2 linked regions of the Mus musculus genome follow. The protein of the gene in region 1 purifies or fractionates together with the protein of each later gene. This does not show direct contact. Links are inferred from orthologs where the notes say so. Each region holds a gene or a part of one and is shown on either strand. Other genes may lie near its edges.

Region 1 (8,139 bases):
CTGTAAAACCCAGTTCCCAGCATAGAATAGCAGAGGCCTTGTTACCAAGAGATAAAAATAACACCCAACTGCTGCTAAGTCTTGAGCTAGCATGATGTTAGCTGATTGCAAATGTCTGATTGGGTTGTATTTTGAAGTGATTTAGGGGGAAAATTGACCATGAAGCAAGAACGTAATGAACTGAGCACTTCAATGGGTAAATGGATGAGGTCAACTCACTGCTAAGTTCAACAAGTGGTGATATTTTACACAATTCTTACTCTGAGGAGGGAGAATTTAGCAAGGATTAACCTTTCTCTTTTTGATTTAAGTGATGATTATGAAGAAGCACTGAGTGAAAATGAAAGTAGTGATTCTAAAAATCAAAGACAGTGTTGGAAGAAGGGGGCGTGCCTGTGCCCCTCAACCAAGTGACAGGGGAGATCCTGGTGTGCTCAATGAGGGATGGACTAGCAACTCTGTGGCACCAAATGTGGATCTAAGCGTCAGTAAGGATAATAATGGGCCAGTGAACAGTCCAGGTCATGTCACTGAAGAAAGCATGGGCACAGATCTTCTCTCCTTGTTTATCAGGGACCACAGGCTACCATTTCCCTGAAATTCTGCTGGGCACTTCAAGTGACTATGTGTGTGCTATGTCCTGTGTGCATGGAGAAGCCCTTACGTACAACAGATAGAACCCTGGAGTATCATACAAGGACAACCTACACAAGAGATTCAAGACCAAGGTTCTGGTGCACACACTACAAAAAGTACCTGTGCTTTTTGACCTGAGTCAAGGAAGGCTCTCCCCGTTGGGCAGCCTGGCACACAGAAGCTGGAGTACCAGCGATAGAAGCAAGGCAGACCTACTTTCTACAATCTCTCCAAGTTTCATCTAAATCTAACCACTGTTAATGCATGTTATTAACAGTTTTCTGAAGTCTCTCTCTACTTTTCTTCTTTCTTTTTTTTCAAACTTTTGCTCAGGAGGTCAGGCTGTGGGTTAATTAAACGCAGGGTCTCAGGTCTGGTAGGGCTAATGCTTCACGTTTAAAAACAGCAGTAGGTACATTTACTGTTTTTCTGTTGTGGGCACAGCCATCAGCATTTCCTACCTCAGGACATTTTTCATCATTCAGCCTGTGTCTACACCACAGGCCTCTCCTCCCTGCTCTTCACAGCCACACAGTTCTACACCACAGGCCTCTCCTCCCTGCTCTTCACAGCCACACAGTTCTATACCACAGGCCTCTCCTCCCTGCTCTTCACAACCACAGTTACTTTTTCCCTTAACGGAGTTCTTCCTCTGAACAGCTCACTGTTTTCTCAGAGACTGTGCCCACTGACAGGGATAATTCCTTTTAATTTAAATTTTAAAAAACGCTCTGATCTTATAGGAAGAAGCACGCTTTCTTACCTGTCCAGAGGGATGTAGGAGTTGAGAATGGATCCCGCCATTGCTTTGGTGCTGGCGTTATCACTAACTGTTCCCAAGCTCACTGTGCCAGACTCTCCACTGAGACTACACCGTTCTTTCTGTACGTCTGCTTGTACTTCCAACCTTAAAGGGAAAGGTTATATAAGCCCTCCATCATTTATAGCTTAGCAATCATAATGCCTATCTTTATATATAAGTCAGATAAAAGCTTCAGTAATGAAGTGTTAGACACTGCAACTCTTCGGTTCCCATTTGTTTGACGATACAGATAATAATGTGGTATACTGAACAACATCCGCCCAAGAGAGTCAAGAGAACATGACCAAAAGGAGAAAAACAAACAAAAACATCTTAAAGCTCTCCTTCATTTTCACTAGGATACAGTCCTTTGTCATGTTTCAATACACAATACAAAGTCAGAATATACTGACTGATAAACATAAAAAAATCAGCAAGTAATTAAAAAAATTATTATCCTCTATTAACTGCATATGGTAGCAAGCATCTTTAATCCTATCCCCTTAGGAGACAAAGGCAGGCTGATCATTTGAGTTTGAGGGCAGCCTGGCCTATATGTTGAGTTTTAGGTTAGCCAGGGCTATATAGTGAGACTCCATCTCAAATAATAATGAAAAAAAAAATTCTATACTGAAAGGGTTCTAATAAACAACTTCAGCCCACATCTGATTGTGTAATAAGAGGTAACAATATATACGACTACAATTAATTTCTGTCCAACTATAAACTACCCAAACTAAACTGATTTATCTTTTAATTCATCTACCTTCCTTCACATAAAAAAGCTAAAACAGAAATGGTGAATCAGAAAAACAAACAAAACAAGGTAAGATAATTATGTTAATTTTTCCTTGTATCTCTATGGGTATGAGTGAGACTTAGTGAGAGATGGTCATTGTCACTTTAGGGTGCAGGGCGACTGACTGCTCCAGGCTGGTGTCAGGATCTGGGGCACCGGCGGGTCAAGTCTCCCTCCCTCCCTCGGACATTCAGTCTGTCCCACAGAAGCAGGGACCAGGCAAGTCATGGCCTTCCCTTCACTCACACAGCTCCAGCAATTAGGTGAGCTTTAACAGGGGCAATGTTATTCCTCAGGACTTAGTTTTTATTCCATCAGTATCAAGTACAGTAAAAAAACACAAAATACAAAAAACAACAACAAAAAAATCTTATCAACTTTCCCCAAATTTTATTTTTTAACCTTAGGATAATTATCATGCTTTGTATTTAAATTGTTCATCTAATTAATATCTGGTCTTTAACAAAACAAAGCAAACAGCTCTTACTTACCTGTTGAAACAGTTTACCATGGCACTTCCCGACAGACTGCCCGTGATACTAGCTCCAGCTAATGCCATGGTGCTCGCTGTCTCACTCAGGTTGTCTCTAATGGTGCCTATTCGATCCATGTGGCTTCCACTTGCACTCAAACTGCCAGTCAGGCCGCCGACACTTCCCTCTCCTATGCTAGGGTTGTGCCTTGCTTCTGCTACTGATGTTGTATCTGAATGTAAAATAATTCAAGAAATGAAATAGGAGTGACCCCTTCCTCATGTTCCTGGCTTTCAACTCCTACATCATCTCAGACTACAAAGGACAAACTACATCCATGCTTAGGCATAAAGAGAACTAGTTCAGGGTGTGCAGCTCAATTTGATACTGGCCTTAAATTGAAGATGTCATTTTCTTATTTTGTTGGCTAATTCCAGAAGTTGTAGGAATTTTAAATGAACTATTTAATATGTCTCCCTGGCCAGCATGGGGTTCCAGTGAGAGATCCTATTTTCTAGATCAGTAAAGATGGGGAAAGAAGTTGATTTCATAGTTTATAGTTCTAATTGTCTATAACTACTGTAAGACATGTTAGCATTATGTTGTAATTTTACAGTACTATTCACATGCTTTGTATTGAGGAATTTACTTATTTATGCCAGTATTTGGGTTTCTATTACACATCCAATCATAGTGTAACAAAGCTATCAGAACCACTGGAGGTAAGAGAGTAAGGAGAGATGGTGGCACACATGTGTAAGCCCTGCACACAGCTTTTAGGATATGACCATGAAGCCCTCTTATAAGGTCGCATTTGTAAGGCAGGGAAAAAGTATGCCATAGAATTATCTGAGAGAAGAGTATTCCAGGCAGAGGCAACCACAAGTTTAAAAGCCTAGAAACAGGAGTGTAACTGTCATCTTTGAGGAGAGGTGGGGTAAGACAGGATGGGAAGGGGTGTATGCAGATAGTCAGGGTAGGAGTTGGACCTTAACAAGGGCATCTGACACCCTGCTCTCCATGTAGACAATTGTGAGATTTCAAGAGAAGCTAATCAGAAGTAAAGTGACAGGGTTCTGAGGAGCTGGCTGGGACACTTGTAGAGATCCACATAAAGTACAAAACAGGTGTGACAAAAACTGCTGGGTATAGAAAAAGCACTGTTTAAAGCAAGCTGATCACTGACACTCTACTGGCAGTATGTAAAGCCTTTGGTTCTTTGTACTTCTGCCCATGACAGTTCTAATTCGTATTTCTTTGAATAATACAATGTTTTGATTTATCGGCCACCTGTAACTGTTTTCATTTCTCCTCACATCCTTTTCTCAGGACGTCACAATGTACCGAGCACAGCAGTGCAGGCAAAGGTTCTACCTTCCAGAGGGCATTCTCAGTAAGAGTTAAGCACCAGAACCACCTCTCTCTCTCTCTCTCTCTCTCTCTCTCTCTCTCTCTCACTCACTCCTGCCTTGGGTAGCTCCTGTCACAGCTGAGCTTCTGCATGAAAACTACAAGCCGTCTGTCACGTATGACCTTTAACCCCATCACATGGGAACAAGAGCCAGCCTGCTGTGTACAGTAAGTTCCAGGCCAGCCAAGACTTTACAGTGAGACCCTGTCTCAGAGTGAAAGAGGAAAGAGAAGAAGAGAGAAGAGGGAGAGTGAGCCTAGTAAAGGGAGACGGTATAATGAAGACACGAGTCCTTTCCTGTCTGAGGACTCACCTATGGCTGCGTTAGTCCCACCGACGTTTATGTCATTCTCATCATCAAACTCAATCCTCACTCCTTTCCCATTGCCCGCAGAGACACCACAACCCCCACTTCGGCAGAGAGAAATTGGGACCACACCATAGACATAAGCTAGCATGATGGGAACACCAATGCCTAGAAGGGAGTAAAATCAAGTCATTAGAAACCAAAAATAAACCACAGAAATATGATGTCTATTTCAGGAGAAGGTATACAGAGCTCTGAAGATCTGGCTAGAATACAGCAAATACAAGACTCCCAGGTAGCCTTCGGGTATCCATGAGGGACAGAAGAGTCTGTGAACTTTTTAAGTACAAGCTCCTCAACGCAAGTGGAGGAGAAGGGCTACTCAATCAGTTATCCTGACCGGTTCTTGGGGACCAAATAGGGCCTTATGTGTATGTCTGAGGGAAGCGCTGAAACCCTGAACTAAAGCCCCAGCCTTAAAACTAGGTTCTCCAGTATACAGTACTTTAATGAAGTTACTTGAGAAATCTTCTGTAGGTTTTCTACTTAAACTGCTTCTTCATTTTAAAAGTAATACTCTTAGCAACAACATAGTAGTTAAAAATACCTTTCTAAGATGTAAAGCCCATTCTTACCTACAGTCACTGCAGCTACCACCGGAGACACGATTACAGACAGGGTGACACCGCCTGCTATGGCCAGATTCCGCTTATGTTTTGAAACATCTTTGCCTTCATAGCGATTATGAATCTTAAATTTAAATGGGAATGGAAGTTTAGAGAGAGAAAAAATTATAAATTTAGTTTAGATGAAACAGTTCTTCTCATATAAGAAAGCTGAAGTAATTTCTCACACAATCCCAATCAAATGCTCTACTTCAAGGTAAACCACAATATCAAAATTGCTCCTTATTAAGGACCTGGTTACAGAAGAAGGCAGTGGCTCAGGAGATCTTAGTTTGAGTCACAAGTTAAACGTCTTTCTTGTGTACAATGCTGCTTTAAAGCTGGCCCAGGCCATGAGATTCCATCTCACAAAAACAGTATTAGAGTTCCACAGGTTTCTCTCTAAAGAAGACCCCCTGAATCTGCCCCAGGAGAGGTTTCTGCGATTGTTTTTACTCTTAAGAAAAAGCTGAGTCTAAGCAGGAGCTGTATGAATCAAATATCACTAAAATACAACTTTTCTCCAGATACCTTTTTATGATAGAAAATATTAACAAAATTATTATCAAAATCCTATTTGTAGTTCAAATAAATAGACAAGGAAAAGTAACAGTTACCAAAGGAGTTAAATTTACTTAGCATCATTGTACAATCCACATTAGTAAATAGAATTATTGCCATAAAAATGGATTGTGAGTTATTAAATGAAAGTGGGAAATACTTTAGTAGCTTTGTTCTTGGGCCTGTAGGAGCCAAACTAATGAAGGGCATTTCCCCATCTGTTTCAAGACATCTTGTGAACAGTGAACAGCCTCCAGAGCACACAGGTAGTCTCTAACGTAAAGTGCTAGGTCCTCCCTTCTATGTTTTGTTCTACAGATCCTTTTCAGCCATTCCTGGGCATGGTCCTGCAGCAGGGCAAAGCTAAGCTACACAGATGAGATCATGGGAAGGAAAGGAACCCTCTGTCAGCTTTTGCTCTCCCCAATCCCCCCCCCCCCACTTCCTTCTTTTCTTCCTAAGACAGGACATTGCTCTATATACAGTCCAGGCTGGCCTTGAAGTTGAGGTAATCCCCCTGCCTCAGCCTCTCATGTGCTGGGAGTATAGATGTACAGCACAGCCTATCATCTTTGGAGGCTTCTACTAGTTTCTTTCATTTTTAAAACTTCATTATATGTGTATGTGACCCATGTGTGTGCCCTTTGGCCAGAGAGGCCAGAAGAGGTCACTGGATCCTTTGGGACTAGAGTTACAGATAGTTGTAAGCTGCCCACTGGTACTGAGAACTCTTCTGGAAGAGTCTTAATCACTGAGCCATCTCCCGAGACCTCACCCCTAGCTTCTTAACACCTAACCTCATGTAGCTCAGGCTTTCCTCAACTCATCATGTAGCCTTGAACTCCTGATCCGCCTGCTTCTACCTCCTAAATGCTGGTGATATGCATGCCTAGCTTGTTTGTTATTCTTGGCACATCTTCTACTTTTTGTTGTAACTAAAAGCTGTTTTCTGGCACTTTCTGGACTTACTAGGTTTTCCTGAGCTGATACAATCCCAAACATCACAGAACATTATTTAAAGGAAACACTAATACATCAACCTGCCCTTTAGGTACATGTATAAACAACAATAGGCACTTCACATTTTTTGTGATGCAGAGTCTTGGACTACAGCCTAGCCTGGCCCATAATTGCTACAATCCTGGTTTAGCCTCCCAAGCACTGGAGCTTTCAATAAAAATCTTTTTGGTAAACTGCATGAAAGGTTATTAAAATAGGCTCCTTTGCTGCTTAGTGTTTTGTCAACCTGACATAAGCTAGAATCATTTGGGAAGAGGGACCCTTAACAGAGAAAATGCCCATACTAAACTGGCCAGTGGTGGCACACACCTTTAATCTCGGCATTCCAGAGGCAGAGATGGTTGATCTCTGAGTTCAAGGCCAGCCTGGTCTACAAAGCAAGTTCCAGGACAGCCAGGGCTTCAGAGAAACCCTGTCTGAAAAAACAACAAAAAAACCAAACAAGCAAAAGGAAGGAAGGAAGGAAGGAAGGAAAGAAGGAAGGAAGGAAGGAAGGAAGGAAGGAAGGAAGGAAGGAAGGAAGGAAGGAAGGAAGGAAGGAAAATGCTCACACTAGATTAACCCATGGGCATGCCTGTGGGGGCATTTTCTTGATTAATGCTTGATAACCCAGCCTACAGTAGGTGTTTCCACCTCTGGGCAAGTGGTCCTGGGTCATATAAGAACACAATCCAGGAAGCAGAGCTCTTCAAGGAATGTACTTCAGTTCCTGCCTCCAGGCTCCATCCCAACTTCCTTCCATGATCAACTGTGATCAGGAAGCTAAACCAAATAAGCCCTTCCACCGCCAAGTTGCTTTTGGTCATTGTGTTTTATCACAGCAACAGTTTGTATATTGGAAATAATTTATTTTTCTTCTTTGTAGTGTTCTGAATAAAATCCAGGCCCTTGCACATGCTGTACGCTCTACCACCATGCTGTGGCCCTAACTCACTCACTTTACAGGGTTATTTAAGAGCCTTCTGAAATAAACACTTAGAGATATCTATGTTCCTCCTCACCAGTCACCAAAACTTTTTTTTCTTTTTCCTATCTGGGATCTAACAGAGAACCTCCTTAGACAAAGTACTGTACCAACCAGCTATATGCCTTTCTATGAAAACTAATTAAAAAGTAATGTTGGTTTTCCTTTTTTTTTTTTTTTGGATTGTATTTTCAGGGCTAGAAGGATGGCCCAGCAGTTAACAGTACATGCTGCTCTTCCAGAGAGCGGAGTTTGAGTACCAGCACTACATGGCGGCTCCTAACTGTCTGTAACTCATTCTGGGGGAATCTCATGCTGTCTTCTGGCTTCTGCAAGCACCAGACATGCAGGCAAATGAAGTACATGTAGCTGTCTTACAGAAGAAGATCATTCTCATCCTAAGTGTAGGAGCACTATGCATACACAGAACTAAGACACAATGGGAAGTCTGACTCCACCTAAGTATTTCCTAACAACAGTGGCTGTGGTGGCTGTCATGTC
Region 2 (7,711 bases), on another chromosome or scaffold:
GGGCATCGGGACAGAGACAGGGATTCTAGAGATAGAGAGTCCCGTAGAGAGAAGGAAGAAAATCGAAAGGAGAAGCACGAGGTGGCAGACAGGGCAGGTGGTAACAAAGCTGTGGAACCTCCCCTTAGCCAAGTGGGAACCATAGACACTGTCTCAGAACTTAATAAGGGGGAGGCCATGGCCACGGTGGTAAAGCCTGAAGAGTCGCCTGCTGAGGTTACCTCACCCGTTGGACCCGAGAAGGATCCTGGCTCAGCAGCAGAGCCTCCTCGCTAGAGACTGGATGTGACAGAATGTGACAGTGACACTTGGGTGTAGAACATGAGGTGTACAGATGCTGTATAATATCCGCTCCTGCTACATCATCCCACAGTAGTTGGTGGGGATTGTAAGCAATTTGATTGCTTTCCTTCTATTTAAAAATAGCCAAAAAAATAACAAAAAATACTGAAGATATATTACCCTTTTTTTGCTGTAACTTTTTAAAAGTTTTGACTTTTAAAAGTTTACAAATCCTAATTAGAAGTGCTCTCTATTTTTTTTTTTTAATTTAAGATAAGGTAACGGTGAAAAGCCCCTCAAACCATAGGGATGTTTTTAATAAACTCTATTTTCGTAACAAACGTTAATGTGTGCTATTCTTCATACACTGCAGTGAGATGGAACGGATGTTAACCATCAAAAACTGAGCTGTTAATAATTGTTGGAGTCTAAATTAGACTTCTTTGATGGGGGAAAAAAAAACCACTTATGTAGTATTTGCCAATACTTGGAGTTTTATTCTTTTGACTTAATATTTTGATCCTAAGGTAAAGGCTAGTAGTCTTAATGTTCAACTAAGAGATTTGTGTTTGCAGGTTAGGGTTTTTACTTTTTTCCTATTGGCTTTGTGGTAATGTTGCCCTAATTAATTTGTAAAAGAGAGATTTGTTAGGGGAAATAATTGGATTCCCAGTATTACGCACTATACTACCAATTACCTAATTGCTTGAGCATTACTTATTTAGAAGGTTGAATGTGTTGTTTATAATCATCTCATTGGAATTTCCAAGGTGTAAAAACGAGGTTAATGTATCCAACGAGAAACCCTTTTATAGACTAGGTACAGTATACCATTTCTTGTAAGCTTTGCCTGTTGTCTTTACCATCTTCAATAGCCTAAGAAGTACACCAAACCTTTGCTACTACACCTGAAGCCAAACCAAGACTCTTAATAGTATTAAAAAGCACTGACATAAAAGTGTGTTGTCCAAGCCCAGAGGGCAGCACACCTTTAATCCCAGCAATGGCAAAGGCAGGTGGATCTCTGAATTCAAGACCAGCCTGGTCTACAGAACAAGTTTGGGACAGCCAGGGTTACAACAAACCCTCTCTCAAGAAACCAAAAGAAGTTTACCCAAATGATTTTTGCCAGGTGGTAGTGGCAAACACCTGTAGTTCCAGTCCTCAGGCAAGTGGATCTCTTGTGAGTTCAAGCCCAGCCTGATCTACAGAGTGAATTCCAGGACAGCCAAAGCTATACACAGAGAAACCCTGTCCTGAAAAACCAAAAAGAAAGGTGGTGGTGGTGGGTGTTGTCTAGAGTCGAGGACTTAAATGTTAGGTATTTATTTACAGCAGTGGTTCTCAACCTTCCTAATACTGTGATCTTCTAAAGTTACTGATCCCCAACCACGAAATTATTTTTGTTGCTATTTTATAATTTTGGCTACTGTTATGAATTGTAATATAAATATCTGATTGGAAGAATAGATGATATACAACCCCAAAGGGGTCACGACCCACAGGTTGAGAACCTCTTACAGTCAAAGTTCTTTTCATCAAATTACATTAGAAGACAAGATAACCTAGCCAGTAGACACTTTCTGCCAACCCTGATGGCCTATTTGACCCCAGGGACAATAAAAGGTGGAAGAATATGAACTTGTTTTCCTCTTAGTGCACACACCCTAAAAATGATTTTTAAAACTACAAGGTGCTAGGTTAAACAAAAAACTTGTCAAACTTAGCTTTATCGTACCTAGAAGTTCCTTTTTGTATGTTCCCATTTGACATTTAGATCTGAGCTCTTCCTAATGATGGAAGAAATGTGTCTGTAGCTTTGCCAGGCTTCAGCTTTCTGGTGACCCTACTTAGGCTTTTAAGTCCTTATTAGAGTATCATAAAACATGCATCCGACGATGATCCAATGTCAGATTCCAAGGACAGACTTGCAGCTTGTCTTTCCAACTAAAAATACTGAGACGTGAGCCACTAAATGGTTTGTGATTACCAAGTTAATCCGCATTGAGTCATCCCCCACATCAAAACTACATTAAGGAAATCAGTTACATAGGATTTACCTGGAACTTCAACATAACTACTTGAAAAAGCATTATGAGCAATCTTAGATTGGAAATCTAAACTTAAAAATTTTAAGGTTGGAAACACCAAATTATGTGCTTTTCCAATTTAGTTGTCTCTTCTTCAGTGACTTCAGTATATCAGTGAGAACTATGGTTTACACCCAATTTGTTGAAAATACTTCAATTGAACTATTTCAGATAGTCACAAGCCTGTTAATATTTCCTTTCAAAGGCACTCTTTCTTGGGTATTAAGGCACTCAATTTCATTACCTGGGGCTATAAAAGTCGATTTAGCCAGAACCTCCAGTCAAACTTGGTGTCATTCCCCGAGCTATTGTGTTTTCCCTGAGTGCCAACCTTAAAGATGGGTGGTACCAACTTCACTTGGCTAGTAGAGCTAGCTGAGGCTCCATGTTTGCCTTCTATGAGTTTGATACAAGTTTACTAAAGGGCTTTTTCTTAAATCATGACATCTAATCCTAATACAATTTTAAAATATAAGGTTAAGTACTCTGAATCTTGAGAGCTTTCAATAATTTCTCTGATAAGGGGCAGAAAATTTTCTGCTCAAATTTTGTTTGGGCTACCACCCACCATTTTGATGGTATCACATAAAACACTTTCAAAATGAAATACTATGAGTTAGCATCATTGAGTCTGTTATTGATGCTCAATGTATAGAGCTAACTTAAAATTTTTTTTTGTACACATTAATAGGCTCAAAATAAGTGCCACACATATTTACTAACAGGCTCAAATGAGAATTTCAGCTTATCACCTGTGTAGTCTGGCAAAATATGGAAAGGCACAGAAACAGATTTGAATTCAGTGAGTTGTACACAGTCTCCATCAGCTGTCATTGCTGTCCTTAGCCCAGTCAAAGGAGTCACACAGTTACAACTCTTCAGATTACAGTTTAATGGTTTGAGGGTAGCAGATGAGTCTGAGACTCAGACCACACAGGGAATGTTTACTGCGCAATCCCAATCACTCCACAGGCCAAGCGGCTCCCAGCATTTCCAGTCTTTGTACTTTCTTCATTTCCACCTTTGCCCAAGTCATCTTGTTTCTCATGGACCTTTGAAAAGAAGAACATTTAGGTTTGAATGATCAAGTAACTAGTACTTCTTCCCAGCAATACTACAGACTTAAATACTAGCAGTTAAGAGCAGACCACTAAGTTTTTCCTTGCTAGTGGCTATTTCTAGATGAAATACTAAGACCCAAGTAACTACCAGGTACATGCTGATCTTAGCTCCTCCCCAACTACACAGTAGTCATTCTTACAAATTTCTCTATCAAAATCTCATGTTGAAAGAACTATAGGCCTACACATAAGAGGCAATTCTAAGTATCTCTACTTAGCAACAAGACTCTAAAGCTTTATTTTACAACACTTATGAATGACTGTTCTGCTTCACCAATAGGGCTGAAGAGCATTCTAAGGATAAAGGGTCAACTGCAAGGAAGGAAGTGCCTACTGAAAAGTTAGCTGCCCGAGGTGGGCAAGAGCCTTTACTACTTGGTGTTCTGCATGACCCAGATGCATCTCCCGAGGGTAACTTGGGAAGACGGCTCCCATATGGTAACCAAGCGATAACCTACAGACTTGAATACTGCCATCCATCGCAGATTTTAGACTCAACGAAATGTTGCAAGGGGGGGGGCAATCATGGCAAGAAAATCCGGCTGTTTTAGACTAAAGACTATTGTATCCTCAACTCAGATCCAGTCTCATCAAATGTAACTGCTTTCTACTGCATTTCAGCACAACAGTGTTCTTAACTGACCTAGGCAAATTAATTCTTTACTATCACAGCCAATAAAAGAACTTTTTTCCTACCCTGAACTCTTAACAATTTATGTGACTCTTTAGAAACTAGTTTAACCACCATAAAGTCATGGGAAGGTACATAACTATGTTAGAAGAAATCCTATGTATATATCCTTATATGAAAAACTTACCACCATTGTACGGCCAATGATGGAATGCTCTCCTGAGAGTGAGATCACACGATCTTCAATGGACACATTGGCCACACCGTCCTTTCCAGCAGTCACATTGCCCAGGTCTCCAACATGCCTAACATTAAAACAGCATCAGGTGGATGAACAATGATGTCTATTTCACATCACTAGAGTTCAATAACTAAGTTAAAATCTGACTAAGTCAAATACGTATGAGTGGATGAAAAAGTACACATACATTATCAACTATGATGGCTTTTCCAGACCGGCAAAGGTCTGGAAACACAAAGTTCAAAACAGGTAGCTACAGGATACCTTGACAGACAGTTCTTCAAGTTTAAAGGTAGTGCTCTGAGAAGAGTCATAATCTGGGGCTTTAGTAAAGTATGCCAGCTCCTGAGTTAGCAAAGGTTTGCTCCCAGGCCCCCATTCTAAAAACAGGCTAGCCCTTCTTTATTTAGGACTTTCCTAAGGTTTCACATACAAATGGAATCTCAACTAGTTTTCATTATCTGCATTAGCGTCCTATTATACAATGATTTACTTTGCCAGTGACTGACAGTACTGTTATCCATGATATTTTCTGTATTGGTTCCTTTTGGCACTTGTATTAGTTCATCTTCAATAAATGCTACAAAACCAAATCACTTTAAGAGTCCACATTTGTCAGCTCCTTCACCCAACAGAAGCTATTCTAGCACGTGGGGTTGTGGGAGTGAGTTGGGTGAATGGAAACAAACACAAAAGCAGAGGCAGGAGGCCATGCAGTTCTGTCTTACTGGGGTCCTCCACAGACCCCTCTCCTCCACCATGCATACAGAGCGTGCTGCTCACCTCTCTTCATCCGCCGGGCCACCATGTTTCTTAGAGTGAGGATTAAAATGAGGTCCTGCACTGGTACAGCCTATTTACCAGAAACCAGCAGTCAGATTATGAAGTAAACCCCTATATGTAACAACACAGGCATTCTTACAACCTCCAACATAGCAAACACTGACCTGGTATGTGCTGGGGCGATAAAAACAGGCAGCAGCGCCCTGGTGTAAGTAGCTGCACTGTATAGCCTTACATTCTCAGGCTACCTTTTTTTCCTAGACTGTCACATTTTTCTTTTTGTTTGCTTTTGAGTTTTGAGACAGTGTCTCACTACTACAGCTCAGGATATCTGCGACCTATGACCCTCCCACCTTAGCCTTAGGGCCATGGCAGTGTCAGGACAGCATGCCTGGCTCTTGTTCCTTCCTTGTAACTGGAACAGATGTGATCTTTAATGGCACTTCTAAAGTTAAAGTCCCACATTTAAAGACCTTGGCTTTTAAGAAGGGAGCATACTTCATGATAAAAATACTTATCTTTCTAGACCATGTGCCACCAAACAGCTCACCTGTCTAGCTTTTACTTGGGGCAGGCAGACTGTTAGATGGCTTGTTCCCAAGGGCCAGGGCTGGTGTCCTCAACTCCAGGAGGTGTACCACACTACTCATGTGGGCTAAGGGATGCCAGTCACAAGGCACAGCTCAACAATGCAGCAAGTCCTTTTATATGCAGGACTTCCAGTGTTTACTCAGACCAAGAAAATAGGAACTGGGCAGGATTCTGGAAGGAGCTTAACAAATCAAAGCTACCAGGCCAGAGGCAACTCGGGGTAACTTTAGTAATTATCAAATGGGTCAAACCCAATCCTAAGTAACTGTAGAACAAATTATGGCACATAGCACACAGGTTGATGGTACATGCCTTTAACACAGCACACACAAGACTAAATTCCAGGCCACCGTGGGCTATGTGGAGAAGGGAAGAAGGCAGGGGAGAAGGAGAGGAAAGGAAAAGGCTCTCGCAACATGGATGAGGCTCTTAAATGACGGTAAGCAAATTCAGATCATTACTCCAATATGGTAAAAGTTCACTAACTGCAATTTAAGCCACTACTTTTTACTGACTTGATTCTAATCCCAAATAGAGAAAATAAATCTTACTTAAGCATTTATATTGAATCTTCAGTTTTTGTCACTTCTGTCCCGCTATGCCTCTCATGCTAAGGCATGGTTGTCCTTAGACACTCTGCCTAATGCATCCATCCTCAACGCCCAGCTCCAAACACCCAAATAAGCACCCAATAAACACCCAGAATAAGCAAGGTGCTGCTTAATTATAATTACAATGAAGAAAAATCACCTTCTTTACCTTCCCACACTTAAGGAAGCAAGCAATACTTGATACTAAATAAAATACTTTTGTGGCTACTTTCCAAGGTTGACCTAAGTGGTCATTTTAACTTTATCTAAAAGAAAAAGAAAACAAACGAGATAGTTTTAAATGGTTAGTAATTGGGTCCTGACTCAGTTCCTTTCCATCACTGGTCACTAGCCAGCCTAGGACCTACCTTGTGTATTGTCCCCATACTGATGGACGTGGAACCCATGCTGGCCTTCAGTTAATCCTGTAATTTGTCCTGACAACACAACTGGTTCACCGCTTGCCTTGATTTAAAAAAATACAAAAATGAAGACATCAAGTTTGAGTGTAAATACTCCTGCACCAGGGCTGTTGCTGGGTTACACCCTAACCAAGCACAGTAAAAAGCTCAAGTCAAAACACACAACAGTGAAAATCAAACCTATGTTCAGATCCAAGTAGACCCACTTCCTACAGGGTGGCTCTGGAGACGCTCAGCTCTAGGCCTCTCTCTCCCTGTCACACTTCTCCTAACACTTGCTGCCAGATGCCATGTGTGCAGGCACCTGGACTGAACAGCATTTAGAAAGCACCAGGTGGAACAAACAGGGGCTACTGAATGCCAGGCCTGGGGAAGAGATGGCTACTGCACTGTCAGACTTGACTCTTACAGAACACTGGCTGCCGAGAACCCTGTTCTCCACATTCAGTGATTTTATCAGTTCCCCTATTTTTATTTAGTGGTCAGAAAATGCCTTTGTCCTACTGCCTGTGGAGATCCATTTGGGTCTAACCAGAGCTACCTTAAAAAAAAAATCTCATTAGCTATCCAAATCTAGAAAATTTGCCACTTAACAAAAAAGAAAAGAACACCCAAAATTCAAATTAGTACTGCTCCAGAAAGTGTAGCAATAGGGAGAAAATGTAAGAGCAACCGACCAACAAGCAAGGACAATCATTTTTTAGGTTTTTTTTTTTTTAAATGTCCAACTTTTGCAACAGAATAAGGGAATATGAACTTTGGGTAGAAAAATCTGATTCTGAAAAGTTGGCAACAGGTTAAATCAACCAGCTTTGATTACAACTGCCAATCTGGAATGCTTAACTATCGTTTCATTGGGTACAAAGGGCACCAGCGATGTGTAGTTTGCAGCGTCACAAAAATAGTGCGAGCTGCTCTGGCATGGCATGGTGGAAGATGACAGAAACCCACACACAGGGG

The links.
Region 2: the proteins of Rnf19a (region 1) and Sod1 purify together in Homo sapiens (affinity purification with western blotting, with the first as the bait; 3 studies listed by BioGRID). This does not show direct contact. The link is inferred for Mus musculus from reciprocal best matches to the Homo sapiens genes RNF19A and SOD1.

The regions. Positions count from the first base shown.
Region 1 is NC_000081.6:36,242,688-36,250,826, forward strand, and holds part of Rnf19a (E3 ubiquitin-protein ligase RNF19A), read right to left. Parts: intron 5,179-8,139; coding exon 5,064-5,178; intron 4,597-5,063; coding exon 4,435-4,596; intron 2,943-4,434; coding exon 2,729-2,942; intron 1,544-2,728; coding exon 1,400-1,543; intron 1-1,399. UniProt on the Homo sapiens protein: E3 ubiquitin-protein ligase which accepts ubiquitin from E2 ubiquitin-conjugating enzymes UBE2L3 and UBE2L6 in the form of a thioester and then directly transfers the ubiquitin to targeted substrates, such as SNCAIP or CASR.
Region 2 is NC_000082.6:90,221,863-90,229,573, reverse strand, and holds the end of Sod1 (superoxide dismutase [Cu-Zn]), read right to left. Parts: intron 6,795-7,711; coding exon 6,698-6,794; intron 5,219-6,697; coding exon 5,149-5,218; intron 4,430-5,148; coding exon 4,312-4,429; intron 3,425-4,311; coding exon 3,317-3,424; 3' UTR 3,241-3,316; downstream 1-3,240. Other genes in the region: Scaf4 (SR-related and CTD-associated factor 4), read left to right, coding at 1-276. UniProt on the Homo sapiens protein: Destroys radicals which are normally produced within the cells and which are toxic to biological systems.